3 linked regions of the Arabidopsis thaliana genome follow. The protein of the gene in region 1 interacts with the protein of each later gene in a biochemical or structural test. Each region holds a gene or a part of one and is shown on either strand. Other genes may lie near its edges. The genes, in order: AT5G62710, AT3G03770 and AT4G20790.

Region 1 (5,974 bases):
CAGCTGTAAGATTTCGTTACCCAATTGTGCTCTTTTACAAATGTTAGATTAGTCGCTCTATGCTTAAAATGCTATGTCTAGATGGTGATTATGTTAATAATTGGTATCAAATTCAGATCTGCAAGTTTTCTCTATATATAACTTACTGTTTTGTCACTGTTTCTAGTGGTTTGTTCATGTCTATATCCTCTTGTCTTGTGTGCTATTGGTTTATCAATGTTGAGCTCATCACTATAAATCCTTAAGCTGCTCTTTAATCTTATTGGAACAAAACTTTCCGGTGAAGCTGCAAGTACTTTCTAGTTTAATCTTATATGTTGCTTGCTGTTACATATGGGATATGAATTCATTGATGACTATCGATTTGTGAAAGTATACTGTCTTCTTTATAATATACTTGTTTCTGCAAGATATGTTGCTATGCTCATCATGTTGTTTGTTGTATGTGTCTATATGGCTTACATACTTGGTTCATTCTCTGTGTGCAGTTGGTGATTTGAACCATTTGATATCTGCCACTATGTCTGGTGTGACTTGCTGTCTGAGGTTCCCTGGTCAACTCAACTCTGACCTCCGTAAGCTTGCTGTGAATCTCATCCCATTCCCTCGTCTTCACTTCTTCATGGTTGGTTTTGCTCCTCTCACCTCAAGAGGTTCACAGCAGTACCGCTCCCTCACAGTCCCTGAGCTCACCCAGCAAATGTGGGACTCCAAGAACATGATGTGTGCTGCAGACCCAAGGCACGGACGCTACCTCACAGCCTCTGCCATGTTCCGTGGCAAGATGAGCACAAAGGAAGTTGACGAGCAGATGCTGAATGTTCAGAACAAGAACTCGTCCTACTTTGTGGAGTGGATCCCCAACAACGTGAAATCAACAGTCTGTGATATCCCACCTACTGGTCTGAAGATGGCTTCCACTTTCATTGGAAACTCAACATCGATCCAAGAGATGTTCAGGCGAGTGAGTGAGCAGTTCACAGCTATGTTCAGGAGGAAGGCTTTCTTGCATTGGTACACAGGTGAGGGAATGGACGAGATGGAGTTCACAGAAGCAGAGAGCAACATGAACGATCTTGTGTCAGAGTACCAGCAATACCAAGATGCAACGGCTGATGAAGAAGGTGACTACGAGGATGAGGAAGAAGGTGAATACCAACAGGAAGAAGAGTACTGAGAGTAATTTAGTTATAAAAACCGCTTGAAAAAATCAATTTAGTCGTTTGCTACTTTTTTTCTTAAAAAAAAAAATGAGAACCTCAACTACCAGTTGCAGGTTTATTTCTATGCTTGTATTTGACTTATCTGGATGATGTTTATGTACTTTGTTTTTAAATTTGGTTCGGTCTTTAGTTTGAATCTTCGTTTAAGCTATTATTGACTGTATTGTTCCTAATCTCGTTAAAGACTTTGGGCTTATGATTGACTAACCTTTGGGCTTATGATTGACTAACCTTTGGGCTTTGGATTTCTTCATTTATTTTTAAGAGCTCGGCCCATTTTCGTGGTGACTAAATTACACTCTTCGAGATAAAACAGATAAGAAATTTACTTTTGATGTAATAAATATTGTTGCTACGAAGTATTTTACTTTTGGAAATAAATAGGGACGACATTAGTGTTAATACTCTTGTAAATTTTGTCAGATTACACATTATTTTACAGATCTCTCAGACAAAGTAAATACAAAAACGACACAGTTTCGTAACTTTCACTCGCGTCTCAAGTACAATCTCTAAATTACTCGCTTTCTGTGAAAGACACGTGTATTTTGTGACTTAAATAACAGCGAGTAGATTTTAGAACCATAGTCGCGAGTGTTTTTATAGGCACAGATATATTTGAATTATGTCTCCTCGCAACGGGTCGCTCTCTCTCTCTCCTCTGCACCAGTCTCCAAGGGTACAGATTTTGAAAAACCACTCCTTTCACTTAGCTCGAAAAGAAGAGGGAAAAACAAAATAATAAAACCAAAAAAATGATAAATTAAAGAATTCTTTTTAGGAAAAACAAAAGTAAAGATTTTTCATCATGAGTCTTCCTCCTCTTACTCATACGGTCATACCCAATCACTACTAACCTCTCTCCATTCTCGAATTAGGTCACTCTATTTGGGTTGAAAAAATCTCATATTTTCGTCTTTGGAACCTTAAGAACTTTCTCTTTTGGAATCGGTGGAATCAGTGAAATGGGTATCTCGAATTGGGTTTTCTCTGTAATTTCTGTAGCTACCCTTTTTGTCTCCTGCTCCTTTGCTCTCACTCTTGATGGTTAGTCAAAACCCACTTTACTCATAAATCTTTGCTTTTTTGGTTGGTGAGAAATCTGAGATTTTGATGTTTGTAGGATTTGCTCTATTGGAATTGAAGAGTGGATTTAATGATACGAGGAACTCACTAGAGAACTGGAAAGATTCAGATGAGTCTCCTTGTTCTTGGACTGGTGTCTCCTGTAATCCTCAAGACCAAAGAGTTGTTTCTATGTAAAAATATGCTCTTCTTCGTTGATAAAGTCTCAATCTTTCGATTATTTCTTTACCTGATTATGTTCTTCTTATGTGGATTATGCAGAAACTTACCATATATGCAATTAGGAGGGATAATATCTCCTAGCATTGGGAAGCTTAGTCGATTGCAGAGACTGTGAGTAGTAGATTTGGCTCTTATGCTAAATTTTGGTCTCTTTAAGTAGTTTGTTTAATTCAAGTTTGGTGGGAGTTATGTAGGGCACTTCATCAGAATAGCTTACATGGGAACATTCCTAATGAAATCACCAACTGCACTGAGCTAAGAGCTATGTAAGCCAGAATTTTGCAATTGGGAATATCAAGCCTTTGGTTAGTGTTGAGCCATAAATATATATCTGGTTAAACATGCTTTCAGGTACTTGAGGGCGAATTTTCTCCAAGGCGGGATTCCACCGGATTTAGGCAACCTTACATTTCTTACTATATTGTAAGATTCAATTTTTTTTTTTTTTTTTTACTTCTTTTCCAATATGATCATTTTCAAGAATTTCTGATGTTTGGGATATCTTCAGGGATCTATCAAGCAATACACTCAAGGGTGCTATTCCTTCTTCAATTAGTCGATTGACGCGGTTACGCTCCTTGTAAGTTACAAACAGAATCTCGTGTTTAGATGTAGTTGTGCAAGATGTGTCAGTTTAATGTATTTACTCTTTGTTTGATTCAGGAACTTGTCAACCAACTTTTTCTCTGGTGAAATACCGGATATTGGAGTTCTCAGCAGATTCGGGGTCGAAACGTGAGATTTCTCTTCTATATAATTATAACTAGTTGTTTGAACATCATCAAGAACTTAAGAAAAACTTTCTTGCTTATGTTAGACTAGGATGTTATTTTCTGATAGTTGTTTTCTGTCTTTATGGTTAGTTTCACTGGTAATTTGGATCTCTGTGGCCGGCAAATTCGCAAGCCATGTAGATCATCAATGGGTTTCCCTGTTGTTCTTCCTCATGCAGAAAGTGCTGATGAATCAGGCAAGATCTTATTATTAAAGCCAATCATCACGTCTTGAGGCTCCTTGACTAAACTTTCTGATTCTTGATTTCTCTTTTGCAATCCACACAGATTCTCCAAAGCGATCATCACGCTTGATTAAAGGAATCTTGATCGGCGCAATGTCTACAATGGCTCTTGCATTCATCGTGATCTTTGTTTTCCTATGGATTTGGATGCTCTCAAAGAAGGAAAGAAAAGTAAAGAAGTACACAGAAGTCAAGAAACAAAAGGATCCATCCGAAACAAGTATAACATTTGCATAAAAGAGAAAAACTAGTTTTCTTTTCTTCCTGCTTATCATTTTTCTAAATTCCGTTTCTTCATTTGTCTTTAAAAAAAGGTAAAAAGCTGATTACTTTCCATGGTGATCTTCCATACTCTTCAACTGAGCTGATTGAGAAGCTAGAGTCTCTTGACGAGGAAGACATTGTGGGTTCGGGAGGATTTGGCACGGTTTATCGAATGGTTATGAACGATCTTGGAACCTTTGCGGTTAAAAAGATAGATAGGAGTCGACAAGGATCAGACCGAGTTTTTGAGCGAGAAGTAGAGATTTTAGGTAGTGTCAAACACATCAATCTAGTGAACCTACGTGGATACTGCCGTTTACCATCTTCAAGACTTCTCATCTATGATTATCTAACCTTAGGAAGCTTAGACGATCTTCTTCACGGTAAATACAGTTATACATAGTTTATCTTCATTTTGGTCTGTGATGCGTCATATTAATCTATTTTTTGGTTTCTTTATCTATCAAGAACGAGCTCAAGAAGACGGTTTGTTGAACTGGAATGCTCGGTTGAAAATTGCGCTAGGTTCCGCGAGGGGTCTTGCTTATCTACACCATGATTGTAGTCCCAAAATTGTTCACCGTGACATAAAATCGAGCAATATTCTACTCAATGATAAACTAGAACCTCGAGTCTCGGACTTTGGTCTTGCAAAGCTTCTTGTTGACGAAGATGCTCATGTTACCACCGTGGTAGCTGGCACCTTTGGCTATCTTGCTCCAGGTTCTCTTCTTTGCTAACTTCTTTTTTGAATCTTGGACAATAATTTTTAAAGTTTCTAACTCTTTGATGAATCTTGGAAACAGAGTATCTGCAAAATGGGAGAGCGACGGAGAAGTCTGATGTGTACAGCTTTGGAGTTCTTCTCCTTGAGCTCGTTACCGGAAAAAGACCAACAGACCCGATATTCGTTAAAAGAGGCTTGAACGTCGTCGGATGGGTAAGAAGACACCTCAAATCTTGTCTCCGAGAAGAAACGTTCTGTTTTTACTTCCTAAGATTTGGGTTCTAATAAAGTGTTATTTCTCTCAGATGAACACTGTGTTGAAAGAGAATCGATTAGAGGATGTAATAGACAAGAGATGCACCGATGTCGACGAAGAGTCTGTTGAGGCATTGCTCGAGATAGCTGAGAGATGTACAGATGCTAACCCGGAGAACAGGCCGGCTATGAACCAGGTGGCTCAGTTGCTTGAGCAAGAAGTCATGTCACCTTCTTCTGGTATCGATTACTACGATGATTCTCATTCTGATTACTGTTAGGGACTTATGCACGGCTAAAAGTAACCAGGAGATCATTAGCCTGCGACGGTTTTGTTGTTGTTGCTGCTGCGTTATGAATGTTGTGATTTAGGAGCGAGGGATTTGTTTGTATATTAGATATGAAGGTGGAGTCAAGATTATTGAGCGTGCACTGTTCTTGTGCACTTTATATTTTTGCAACAAAATGATCGATGTTATTGCGTATGCATTGTACTATGACTCTTTCAAAGGGAAGACACACATACGAATTATCGATGTTAATGTCGTTAGGCTTCTTTCTTACGTTTTGTAGCGTACATTGCTTAGCTCTACTAAAGCTGGTCCTATGTTTTACAAACCTGAAAGTAGAAGACTCTCAATGCACAAACGTTGCTACAAAACTTTCATCTTTCTGAATAATTAGCTATTTTTATTTATGAAAGTGTTATTTCTCTATAAATCTTATAATTTGGAAACTGATATTAAAAAAAAAACATCTTCTTTTTATAGTTACAAACAAGTTTTTTTTTTTTTTTTTTTCTGTCAAAGACTTGAGAGTTGATAAAAAAAAGAGTTGATAATTTCTTGATTTTTCTTCTGGAACATTTTAATATTATCTTCTGAATAATCAAATGACCTTTCGTTTAATGGAAGAGACTTCGACCATCATCAAAACCCCATCCACCTCTTAAAAGGCCAACGCTTTTCTGCCCTATGTGCTTTGCTAGTTTCCTACACGTACGTATATATCTATAAAATCATTTTTCATATATATATGGTTTAATGCATCCATAGTTTATACATATTTTATATTTAAACCCTACCCTATACGATACACTATATACATATATCGTATAGTAGTAATTGATTATATAAAATTTTACATAGATGTACAAGAGCATTGATATCGATAGAAGTT
Region 2 (6,688 bases), on another chromosome or scaffold:
ACTTAGAACATTCGTTGCAGCCAATGCCACCGCATCAGCAAAGGAGAGGAGATTATCAGCATGAGGATGAGGAAGAGAGCGGTGCTGATTTTTCGGTGGCTGTTGGATCGACGGCGGTGGCTTCGAAGGTTATATTTCCGGCGGAGGATTTTCACCGGAGATGAATGTATTACCTAGGGTTTGTCTTTAATTTAAATATATCTCCGTTTTTATAATAATGTTGAGAAAGAGAATAAGTATATCCAGCAGACGTATACTATACATGTAGAGTTGTCGTGAAATATTTGAATGAGATATATGCATGTAGTTATTGGTTAATTATCATACTAGTTGGAATTAACTGAATTTACATACGAATCCAAATTAATAAATAAGTAAAGGATTTGATGATCCAACACCAGCCATTATCCTCTATTTTGATTTCTTGGACAAGAAGAATCAATCAAGCAAATCTTTTCTAAACCCTAGAAATCGGTTCCATCTCAATTTCTATATACAATTTTAATTTATTTTCGCTGAACAAAACAGGAAGAAAAAACGATTGAATTTTCCAAAATTATCTCACCATTGTTGGACTTGTATTCCTTTTGAAGAATAAAAATTAACCGACACTGTTCTTTTAAGTAAAGTTTATAAGAAAAATTAACTATATTATTAACTGTTATGATCGTTTAAGCTCAACACAACTAAAGACAAAAAAACAAAAACAAACATCAAATTACAAACAAAAAGGTTATGTTCTTTCCAAAGAGTAGTGATCAGTGAACAAGACCAAACAAAAACCCTCGTCTCTCTACCTCTCATGTTCTTCACATCCTGCAATTACAACCACACAAATAAGTCTCAGATCAATAAACTTATTCAATCTCAAATCTTTAACAATCAAATTCTATTCTGAACTGAATCAATTGATCATAAAAGATCGAGTTCAAAAATACCTGAATCTCGGGGAGATTCGAGTGTTGTTACGTGTAAACGAGAGGGAGGAGGAAGAGAGGAAGCAGCAGGAGAAGGCGAGCCGAGATTGCTCGAGGGATTGCTGTTTTGTAGCCAACCTTCTTGAACTTGAGAAGCAAACTGAAGATTCCACAGGACATCTTCAATGGAAGGACGTTCTAAAGGGTCTTTAAGGAGACACCTTACACATATCTCCATCATTGTCTTCAGTGATTGGTCTGAACAAGCTCTATGGACCGTTGGATCCACCATGCTCCTACGTGCTCCATCATCCGCTGAAATGCTTGCTTGTAACTACAACAAATAAAAAAGAGTTTTTAAAGTAGATGATAGCGATTCCACATCAAGCTACATATATATCGAATGGTGTTACCTGCTCTTTTAGAACATCGACTTGACTCTTTGCTCTCAATGGTCTTCCCACTATAAGTTCAAGCAATATCACTCCAAAATCATAGATATCGATTTTATCTTCGTCTTTGATGCTGTTAAGAAACAGAGGATTAAACCATATAAACCGGTTTACAAGCTGATGAGAAACAGAGGATTAAACCATATAAACCGTTTTTGATTCTTTTGAGAAACAGAGGATTAAACCATATAACCGGGTTTACAAGCTGATGAGAAACAGAGTAAAGAAGATTATTACACACCTTGGAGTGCCTTTAGGTCCGCTCCGAGATCCTACTTGCCCCACCTTAGAAAGGAAAGCAAAAGAGATTCAAAATTCAAGAAACAAAAACATTCGAACTTTTGACATCGTCATTTACCTTTCCAAGACCTTCCACAAGCAATGGAAGATTATAGCTACTGAGTTTCGCCGCAAGGTTATTGTCAAGCAAAATGTCTGTCATTTTAAGGTTGTTATCATAAACACCAGGCACAATACCGGTATGCAAGAACTGGATCCCTTTTGCTACACCTATCGCTACGCTTATGCGTTGTTCCCAAGTAAGCAATCTTCCCATGTGCCCATCTAGCACAGCAGAGACAAGAACAATCCGATTTAGTTATTAAAAAATATATAATGATCATCTTCATTCTTAAAACACATGATGTTTCAGTGTGGTACCAGAAATCCAGGTCCTGAGTTCTCCATTTGGGACATACTCAAAGACAAAGAACATTCTGCTGACTGTTGAATCATCCAAGTAGCACTCGAAGCAGTGCCCGAGCACACTAACCAAGTGACGGTGCCGCAGTTTAGCGATGAGCTCAATGTGATGCATCAAGTTTTGTGTGCTGCAACTTTTCTTCATTTTCAGACACCTAATTGCCACAAAGGATCCATCTTTCAATCTCCCTCTATAAATCTGAAAAGAACAATGAAAACAAAAATCTTGTTTGATTCAACTGTTCAAAAAATGGAAACTAGCTAAAGAAAGATTGAAGCTTCACTGCTGTACCTGTCCTTGAGAACCTTCACCCATGAAAGCAGAGGATTCAAAGTTATTTGTTGCATACTCGAGCTCCTCCAGTGAGAATGTCCTGTAAGCTGGAAGACCGAGCCCTCCTAGCTTCATTGTTTGAGAGATATACCCTTCAAAGTATTGCAGTTACAGCACAAGTTATCAATGAAGACAAGTTCTATGTAATCTATGTGACAATATGTGAGAGATATTTTATCCTCTTACTTGCATCTGATAGTAGTTTCGATGTGTACCCCATTGAAGCATTCTCTCTAATCAATCTTGGGGAAGATTTCGTCACTGTTTTCTTAGCATTTAATCTCCTAAGAACCACAAATAAGGCACCGGCGAGGAGAAGTACCCCGAGAATGCTTGCGGTTACACCTAAAGCAATACCCACTTTGGAAACTTTGTTCCTCCTCTGTGGTAGGATTCCAACAGCAAGAGCTTCATTACTACAAAAAGAAACTGGACGTTGATCTTCATTCGTAGTAGCCAAACAGTTGCTTGCATAGACAACATCTCTGCTAGTGCCGGAACTCGGTTTAAGGCAAGTAGGCAAACTTCCGGTAAGAAGATTTGATGACATATCTACAAACATCAGCTGTGAGTTGCAAGAAAGATTTGCTGAAAGCCGCCCGGTGAGTTTGTTGTGTGAAATGTTCAAGTAAGTTATCGCGGGAAGAGACATCAAGGAAGTAGGAAATGGACCAACGAATGTATTGTAGGAAAGATCCAAATGTTGAAGCTGATACAGAGAACTTACTTCTTCAGCTGAAACTGCAGATCTAAACTTGTTCTTGCTGAGTATAAGAGTAACCAGCTTGTTACTTAACCGAGGAAACAACGGTCCAAAAGAGTTTCCTTCAAGATCAAGCACTTGAAGGTTTGTCAAATGGCTTAAATCAGGCAAAGCTCCATTAAACCGGTTATTAGCTAAAGCAAGAACTCTAAGACCTGACAAGCTACTCAAAGAAGAAGGCAATGACCCATTAAGCACGTTCTTTCTCAAGCTCAACACAGCTAAACTCGGCAAAGAATCAATCCAATCCGGTAACTCACCAGAAAACATATTCTCGTCGAGTATAAGCGTCTGAAGAGTAGCAAGCGACGAGAGTTCATGAGGGATTGGTCCAAAGAGGAAATTGGAACTCACATTGAGAATCTCCAAAGAGGATAAACGGTTGATTTTCTGAGGTAACCAACCCCATAACCCAAGGGACACAAACGTGAGAACTTTAACATCAGGGAGCTTAACAAGAGTAGTAACAAACGAGTTTATTGAGAAACTCTTTGGTAACATATGAGTTCCATTGTCTCCTATAATGTGAAGCTGCGTTACACTATCTTCATAACACACAACGGTTAGCGAAGGGCTTGGCTCAGAATTGCAGAAATCTGTATAGTTGTTCCAGCTGTTTAACACTTTGGGATAGTAGAGAAGCTGTTGCAGCCTCAAGAGGGTTTGAGATTGAGATGATTGTAGCTGTGTAGAGCCATCAATGGAAGCTAAAAGCAGAACCAGAAGCAGTAACGGCATGCCACAATAGAGTTTCTCCATAGCCACACAAGACCATAAAACACACACAACTACTAAATAAAATCATATAAGCATCATCATCAAAACCTGCAAAGAGAGAGACACATTTCATTCAAGAATCACATTTATATATAATGTACTTACAAAACAGGGTCCACTCTCAAGATCTTGATATTTTAACCACTTTCTCGTTAATGCATTAAACAGAAGAGAATCTTAGAAATCAATCTTCAAACTAAAAAAATATGATTTTTGCATGTGAATTCCAGAAAAACAGGAAGAACTCACCACATGTGTTACAGAATCTCCTCTTTAAGACACCTTGCAAGAAGAAAAGATGCAGGAAACTTTTGAGCACAAGAGATTAAATTTTATTTTTCCTGGAAACAAAATTTGGTTTCATCAGAGTAAGAAGAATGAGAAAATGAAAAGACAAATCGTTTCCTTTGAGATGAAGAAATACCTCTGCAAACTTATGAAGTAACTGTGAATGGAATATCGATTTTATCTAAAGAAACAAAAAAAGTAGCAACTTGATTTAAAGAAGAAAGTGAGAAAAGTTCCCAAGAAAATCCTCTGTAAGAGATGAAAGTTCCTCAAGGAGCTTTAAAAACATTCAAGATTCCTTCACGAGTGATTATTATATCTTATAAGAATAAAACAGAGGATACTCTGGGAACAATATTAACCCAACAAACTTTTTTTATTTTTTAAATAGACAATAAACAAAAACAAATTCTGTAAAATCAATGCAAAAACATTTTAGCAACCATACGATTTAGTAAATTGTCAGTGGCTAACGACAGAGAGTTTGGTCCTCCTCTCTAAGTCTCCATCACGAGATGAAGACAACGATAAATTCTTTTTACAAAAATAATTTTAAAACAAACAAACAAAATAGAAATAGAATTTTTTTGTCCAAAAAATAATCTTGTAAGTGTTCACATGCATTTTTAACAAATTAAAAAAGAAAAAAAAAAAAGCGAATCCAACAGGGTCTGGCCGACGTTTTTTTCTGATCTTTTTATTTTTGGTTGTCTCACTATTTATACAGTACACAAAGTAAATTATTTTATCAGCATTAAATATGTTCATATTATATTATCACTTTCAAAAAAATAGGGACCAAAGAGAAATCCACTCCAGCCAAAGCTGTGGCCAAGAAAAAGTAAAAAGACAAAAAAAAAAAGAAAGATAAAAAGGTAATGATAAGAGAAATATTCTTTTAGGGTTTAGGCCTTTAGGGGGATGATCTACAAATACGAGTCTGAGGCAAACAAGTCTTTATATAGTATAGATTTAATTTTGATATTTTTTTAAAGTTTCTTATATGAATATTAATTTGATTGAGAAAAGTCTGTCTATCAATTAATTGGGTATGCTAAGTTAAACAAGATTAATCAAGAATGAGTAAACAAAACCAAGTAAATTAGTGTAACTCTAATTTTGTTTTGAATTTTGATCATGTAAGAAAGCTGAAAACAAACTAAACATAAAAACCACAACAACTACACCGGAATTTTATCAAAAACTAGGCTTAAAACCAAACTGAAAGAAAAAAAAAAGATCCATCCAAAAACTTAAATCTGAAAGAGGTAATATATATATTTAAGGTGAAAATAAAAAGAAAGCGAAGTTGTGACACATACTGTAATGTAAGCTTTCGCACGAAGGCATCTCCATCAGAAAGGTCACACCAGACTTTTAAAGTGACACATGTAGGTCCCAATCTTCTCCGACCTTTTCAAAGTTCAAGAAAACAATCTTAATACAACAAATTAGCTCACATATAATATGATCAATAAAGAATAACATGCAAGGAATTGGAAATCAAATTAACAAACAATTTAAACTAAACTCGTGTATTTAATCATATTAAATTGAAACTAAGGCATGATGTCTTAATCTCTTGACTACTCTCACGTGCCATGAGTGATTCATCTTTTTATTAATCTTGTAGTTTTTTTTAATATGATTCATAGTTGCAGGTATAAGAAAACAAGTAAAGTAAATGCTTACAAACATAAGAAAACAAAATTCTGTGAAATTTTAGTCCACCTGGTTTTATATAAGCATCTTCTTCTGTTAGATTTTTCTGTGCATCGTTTAGGAATAAATATTTAATTTTAATTTATCTTATTTTTTTCCTTCATTTTGCGTGTTTCATTTTTTGGTTAGTTTTGTTTTGTATCTGTTGGTTGCATGTCTCAATAGTCAATGTCGTCGTATACAATCATAGTTTAAATAAAACTAAAAATTGTTGGTGCAGCTTATAATCGACTAGCCAACTTTAAACAATACGAAATAGAACGTGGTAATTTCCAATTTCGATTTCTTTTTCCTTAACAAAAAAAGATTGATCTTTAATTTGGTAGACGAAAAGAAAATTAATAACGGCTAGAAATACATTTATACGACTATTTTAACTGGTAGTGAAAATTGATCGACTGGCAACTATAAAATTAATATATTATGAAAATTTATTGGCTAAGTGAAGTAATTTGAGATTATTTCATAGAAATACATTTATACGACTATTTTATGTTTTTTTCTTGATTACTATCATGCATTCATATGTTACATTATTCTGTTTTTATCACATAAATATATATACACTACATTAAAGTGATTTGTAGAAAGCGAAAGCAAATACTTAATTAAGACGTACGTTAGAGCCTAGAGGAGTGTGTGTGTGTGTGTCATTTTCGTCTTGCGGTGTAATAAATTAGGTTAGATGGTTTGTTCAACATTAAGATTTATTGTGGTTTTTGTTAGGTATGTC
Region 3 (3,808 bases), on another chromosome or scaffold:
TTATCAACCTTGAAATCCCACCAACCATTGGAGTAGCAAATCCACCGGCCGACCATGGAGACGCAGGATTCATCGTCCCCTGAAAAAACGAAAACAGAGTCATCGTCTCCATCGTTATTTGTTGGCCGTACACTCAATTTCATAAACTGTAAAGCTTCTTATGATAACTCATACCTTCCATCTCGACAGATTTTGACAATGTGTGTATGATTTTCGAAGTGACGAGGGTTTATCTTCTTTTGACAATGACGACTTCAGAGAAGATGTCGACGACGAGAGAAGTTTATGTTCAACGAGGGTTTAGGAGATAAGTTTATGTTTGGTTTCAATGTCTTGAGGACAAATGGGTTTGAGTTTTGTGATATTAGCCCATGACAAATCTTGAATTTTGAATGATATTGGGCTGGTTTGAATTTGGCCCATTAGTTTTCATCAAAACACAAGAGGGGTAAAACGGTCTTTGACTATTTGCTGTATTAGAGGAGGGCTGTATTAGAGAGGACAGAAGAAACTACCCTATCAGCCTATTTTTAAAAAAACTGTCTAGTTCTCAAATTATTTCCCTAAAAACTGCCTAGTTCTCAACTTATCTCAAATGACTATTCCTCTCACTTTTTGAGTTAGTGCTCATGGAAGTAGCATTTAGCTTCTGTTGAATTCACCTTTTAATGCGTTGCATTAGTGTAAAATTCTCTAACAATTAAGAAGCCTGAGTAAGTTTGCAATAAATTTTATTTTCTTTATCAAAAGTTTACCTTTTAGCTCCTGTTGAATTTCCATTTTTTTAAAGATTCATTAAGACAATAACTATTATTTTTATATATTTTTATTATTCTTAATTAAGAAAATACAAAAAATTATAAAATATGTTAATAACAAAATAATAAACAATACAACATAGGAAACTATACCAATTAAAGAAATTAAATGCATATAGATTAGATGAATAAAAATAGAAATGTAGAAAATTAAAAATTATATATATGATTCTATAAATCTAAATTTTAAATTAGGCATATTAATTTGGTAAAATTGCAGAAATATAAAGTTCATTGGATATAAAGTGAAACTATTGAAGATTTTATTGATAGTAGTTTATATAATTCAATTCAATTCTCAAACAAAAATTATATTTAACATTGAGCACATTTACCAAATAATTATCGACTCAAATTCACCCACGTAGATGTTTGTTGCGCAAGAAAGAGAAAAAGTTTAGAACAAGATAAATAGACCAAAGAGACAAGAAATATATGAAAGGAATTCGAGGCACAATCTTACAAATACAAGCAAAACCATTCTAGATAATTTTTTACCAACTGACATAAACACATTATTATGTGTTCAATGACAACGAAAATGATAATTAAACATTGAAATTTGTTTTCATAGTGGAGCTATTGTAAAAAGTGTAGATATTCACAAAATTTAAAAAACTTCACAATTATTATTATTTTAATAATCTTCAACTTCCAAGCACACGATCACTAAAAGGAAAATGGGCGCGTAAATCTCATCCCACTCTGTTTCAAAATAACCGCCAACAACAACAACACCTCCAATAACACAGAAACTACCTCTCTGCTTCTCTCTCTAATCTCACCCATACACGAAACCAAATAACGAAACCTATTTGCTCTCTATCTCTCCAATGGCGTCTTCTCTGTTCTTCATCTTCTTCCTCACGTCACTACTATCATCCTATCTTCCTCTCTCAGTATTCTCCGCAACCGTCGTCGAAGACCTCGCTAATCTAAGTCCACCTCCTGATTTCAACACCACTATTTCCAACAACTGTCTTCGTGATCCAATGCTCCGTTACTGCAACAACACTTCCTCTTCTCCAATGGACATTGTCGAGATTTTCAGATCCACAATCGTCGCTAGTCATCTCTGTAACGAGTCCAAAAACCCTAACTGCGTTGAATCTTTCCCTAGAATCAGAATTCACGGTCGTCCTAAAACCGCTGCTCTTTACCTCTCTTTCGATTTCTTCTGGAAGTACTGTCCTTTAACCGTCGTTGATATCGAGTTAGTGAATAACTCTCTAACGAATGGTTTTCCGACAAATGTTCTGTCTTGTGCTCAGATTCGTACTCTTGATCTGAGTTACAACCAATTCTCTGGTTTTGTTCCGGTTCAAGATCTCTCAGGCTTACCCAATCTGACCCATTTGAACCTATCGTATAACCGATTCTCCGAGAATAAGATCTCGGATTCTGAGTTCTTCAAACGGTTTAACGCCTCTAGTTTCATACAGTCCGGTGTTCTTCCCAACGTGAAGCGTTACAAGATGAAAGTTTTGGTCTTGTTGATTGTTTTTCCAATAATGGTGATTTTGCTCTGTTTTTGCTTTGGCTGGTTATGTGTCAAGAGACCTGATTACTTACCAAGAACATGCCGGAGAAGAAACAAGTTCACATTCGCGATGCTTGAAGCAGCAACGGATGAGTTTTCAGATCAACATCTTGTGAGCATGAGCAATACAGTGGATATCTACAAAGGAACGTTAAGAGACGGGACAGAGACGAAGATCGAGGTTTATAAAGAGAAGGTTTCGAGTGAGAAAAGGCGTGAATTCGCAGAGGTATGCGAGATGGTTTTTAAGTTACGACACAAGAACTTGGTAAGAGTGTTGGGTTGGTGTAATAGTAGAAACATGAGAGCTTTGGTTACAGAATGGATTCAAGGTGAAAATGTTGAGACTTGGTTAAGTTCGTCAATGGCTTTATCATGGAGAAGAAGGTTAAGAGTAGTTCTAGGAGTTGTAGAAGGTATTTGTTATCTATCAGATCAATGGCCAGAGATTACATTTGATCTCACCACAAGCAGTGTTTTGTTATCCGATGATAATCAAGAACCTTTGATTTCTCATTTCAAGATTGGAGATAGAAACAACTTGTCAACAAGTAAGGCTTCATCTTCTTCTTGCAAAAATCAAAACCTTTTTAAGGCTATAAAAGCTAAGTCTGTTGTTGTTGTTGTTGTTGTGTTATTACAGATATATTCAACTTTGGATTGTTTTTTGTGGAGATGATTACAAATCTAAGACCTGATTTGGGACAAGAAGATTCAGAAAGAAGGTATCTTGAGTATATAAGAGTTCATTATCCGGATAATCTAGAGAGAGTGATTGATGAGAAGATGAAGATTGAGGGGAGAACATTTGATCAAGTTAAGCAAGCCATTACGCTAGGACTGATGTGTACTGATATAATACCACCATTAAAGCAACCAAGCTTGACGCAGATTTATGACTTGGTGAGTTCATTGTATGAGTCTAGTTCACGACATCATTGAAATACCTTGTAAAGCTTTATTGGTTTCTTTTGATTTTCAGACATCTGGTGTTAGATAGTATTGTAAGGATTAAAGACATATTTGTGTGTTTTTTCTTTGATTACTATAAGTACTGAGAGAATTTGCAGAAAATGAGTACTTAATTTGCAGACATGAAATCTGTAAATGGGCTTCATTTCTGCAAATGGGCTTTATTAGCTGAAATGGGTTTCATAGTTTTATGGGTTCTCAAATGACCCGACCCGGGTTGGAAGATATAGAAACTATACACTGGTTGGCAAATGGGAACGTTCGATTAAAAATTCGGTAACTACTACGACGTGACTTGTCTCTTCTCCGTTGAAAAGCCATCGACAGTTATGTATGAGTGTATCATTTATCAACTTGAAAGCAATTTCAGTTTTTAAAATAATCCAAATACTAATAAACCAGAAATTAACCCATCATCAAAGCATTAATAATCTTCATTACCATTTGAAACCGAAACTTGTATCACAATTAAATAACG

The links.
Region 2: the proteins of AT5G62710 (region 1) and AT3G03770 form a complex in vitro, tested with the Arabidopsis thaliana proteins (one large-scale study listed by BioGRID).
Region 3: the proteins of AT5G62710 (region 1) and AT4G20790 form a complex in vitro, tested with the Arabidopsis thaliana proteins (one large-scale study listed by BioGRID).

Annotation. Positions count from the first base shown.
Region 1 is NC_003076.8:25,185,250-25,191,223, forward strand, and holds AT5G62710 (Leucine-rich repeat protein kinase family protein), read left to right. Parts: upstream 1-1,971; 5' UTR 1,972-2,188; coding exon 2,189-2,270; intron 2,271-2,346; coding exon 2,347-2,482; intron 2,483-2,570; coding exon 2,571-2,642; intron 2,643-2,725; coding exon 2,726-2,797; intron 2,798-2,882; coding exon 2,883-2,954; intron 2,955-3,039; coding exon 3,040-3,111; intron 3,112-3,194; coding exon 3,195-3,266; intron 3,267-3,394; coding exon 3,395-3,501; intron 3,502-3,592; coding exon 3,593-3,769; intron 3,770-3,863; coding exon 3,864-4,196; intron 4,197-4,281; coding exon 4,282-4,536; intron 4,537-4,619; coding exon 4,620-4,753; intron 4,754-4,845; coding exon 4,846-5,076; 3' UTR 5,077-5,473; downstream 5,474-5,974. Other genes in the region: TUB3 (tubulin beta chain 3), read left to right, coding at 1-5, 489-1,177.
Region 2 is NC_003074.8:944,510-951,197, forward strand, and holds AT3G03770 (Leucine-rich repeat protein kinase family protein), read right to left. Parts: upstream 4,730-6,688; 5' UTR 4,370-4,729; exon of another isoform or gene 4,287-4,369; 5' UTR 4,195-4,286; intron 3,994-4,194; 5' UTR 3,928-3,993; coding exon 2,592-3,927; intron 2,498-2,591; coding exon 2,364-2,497; intron 2,271-2,363; coding exon 2,030-2,270; intron 1,934-2,029; coding exon 1,728-1,933; intron 1,655-1,727; coding exon 1,611-1,654; intron 1,443-1,610; coding exon 1,331-1,442; intron 1,252-1,330; coding exon 939-1,251; intron 817-938; coding exon 794-816; 3' UTR 568-793; downstream 1-567. Other genes in the region: LBD20 (LOB domain-containing protein 20), read left to right, coding at 1-164.
Region 3 is NC_003075.7:11,134,267-11,138,074, reverse strand, and holds AT4G20790 (Leucine-rich repeat protein kinase family protein), read left to right. Parts: upstream 1-1,651; coding exon 1,652-2,909; intron 2,910-3,001; coding exon 3,002-3,300; downstream 3,301-3,808.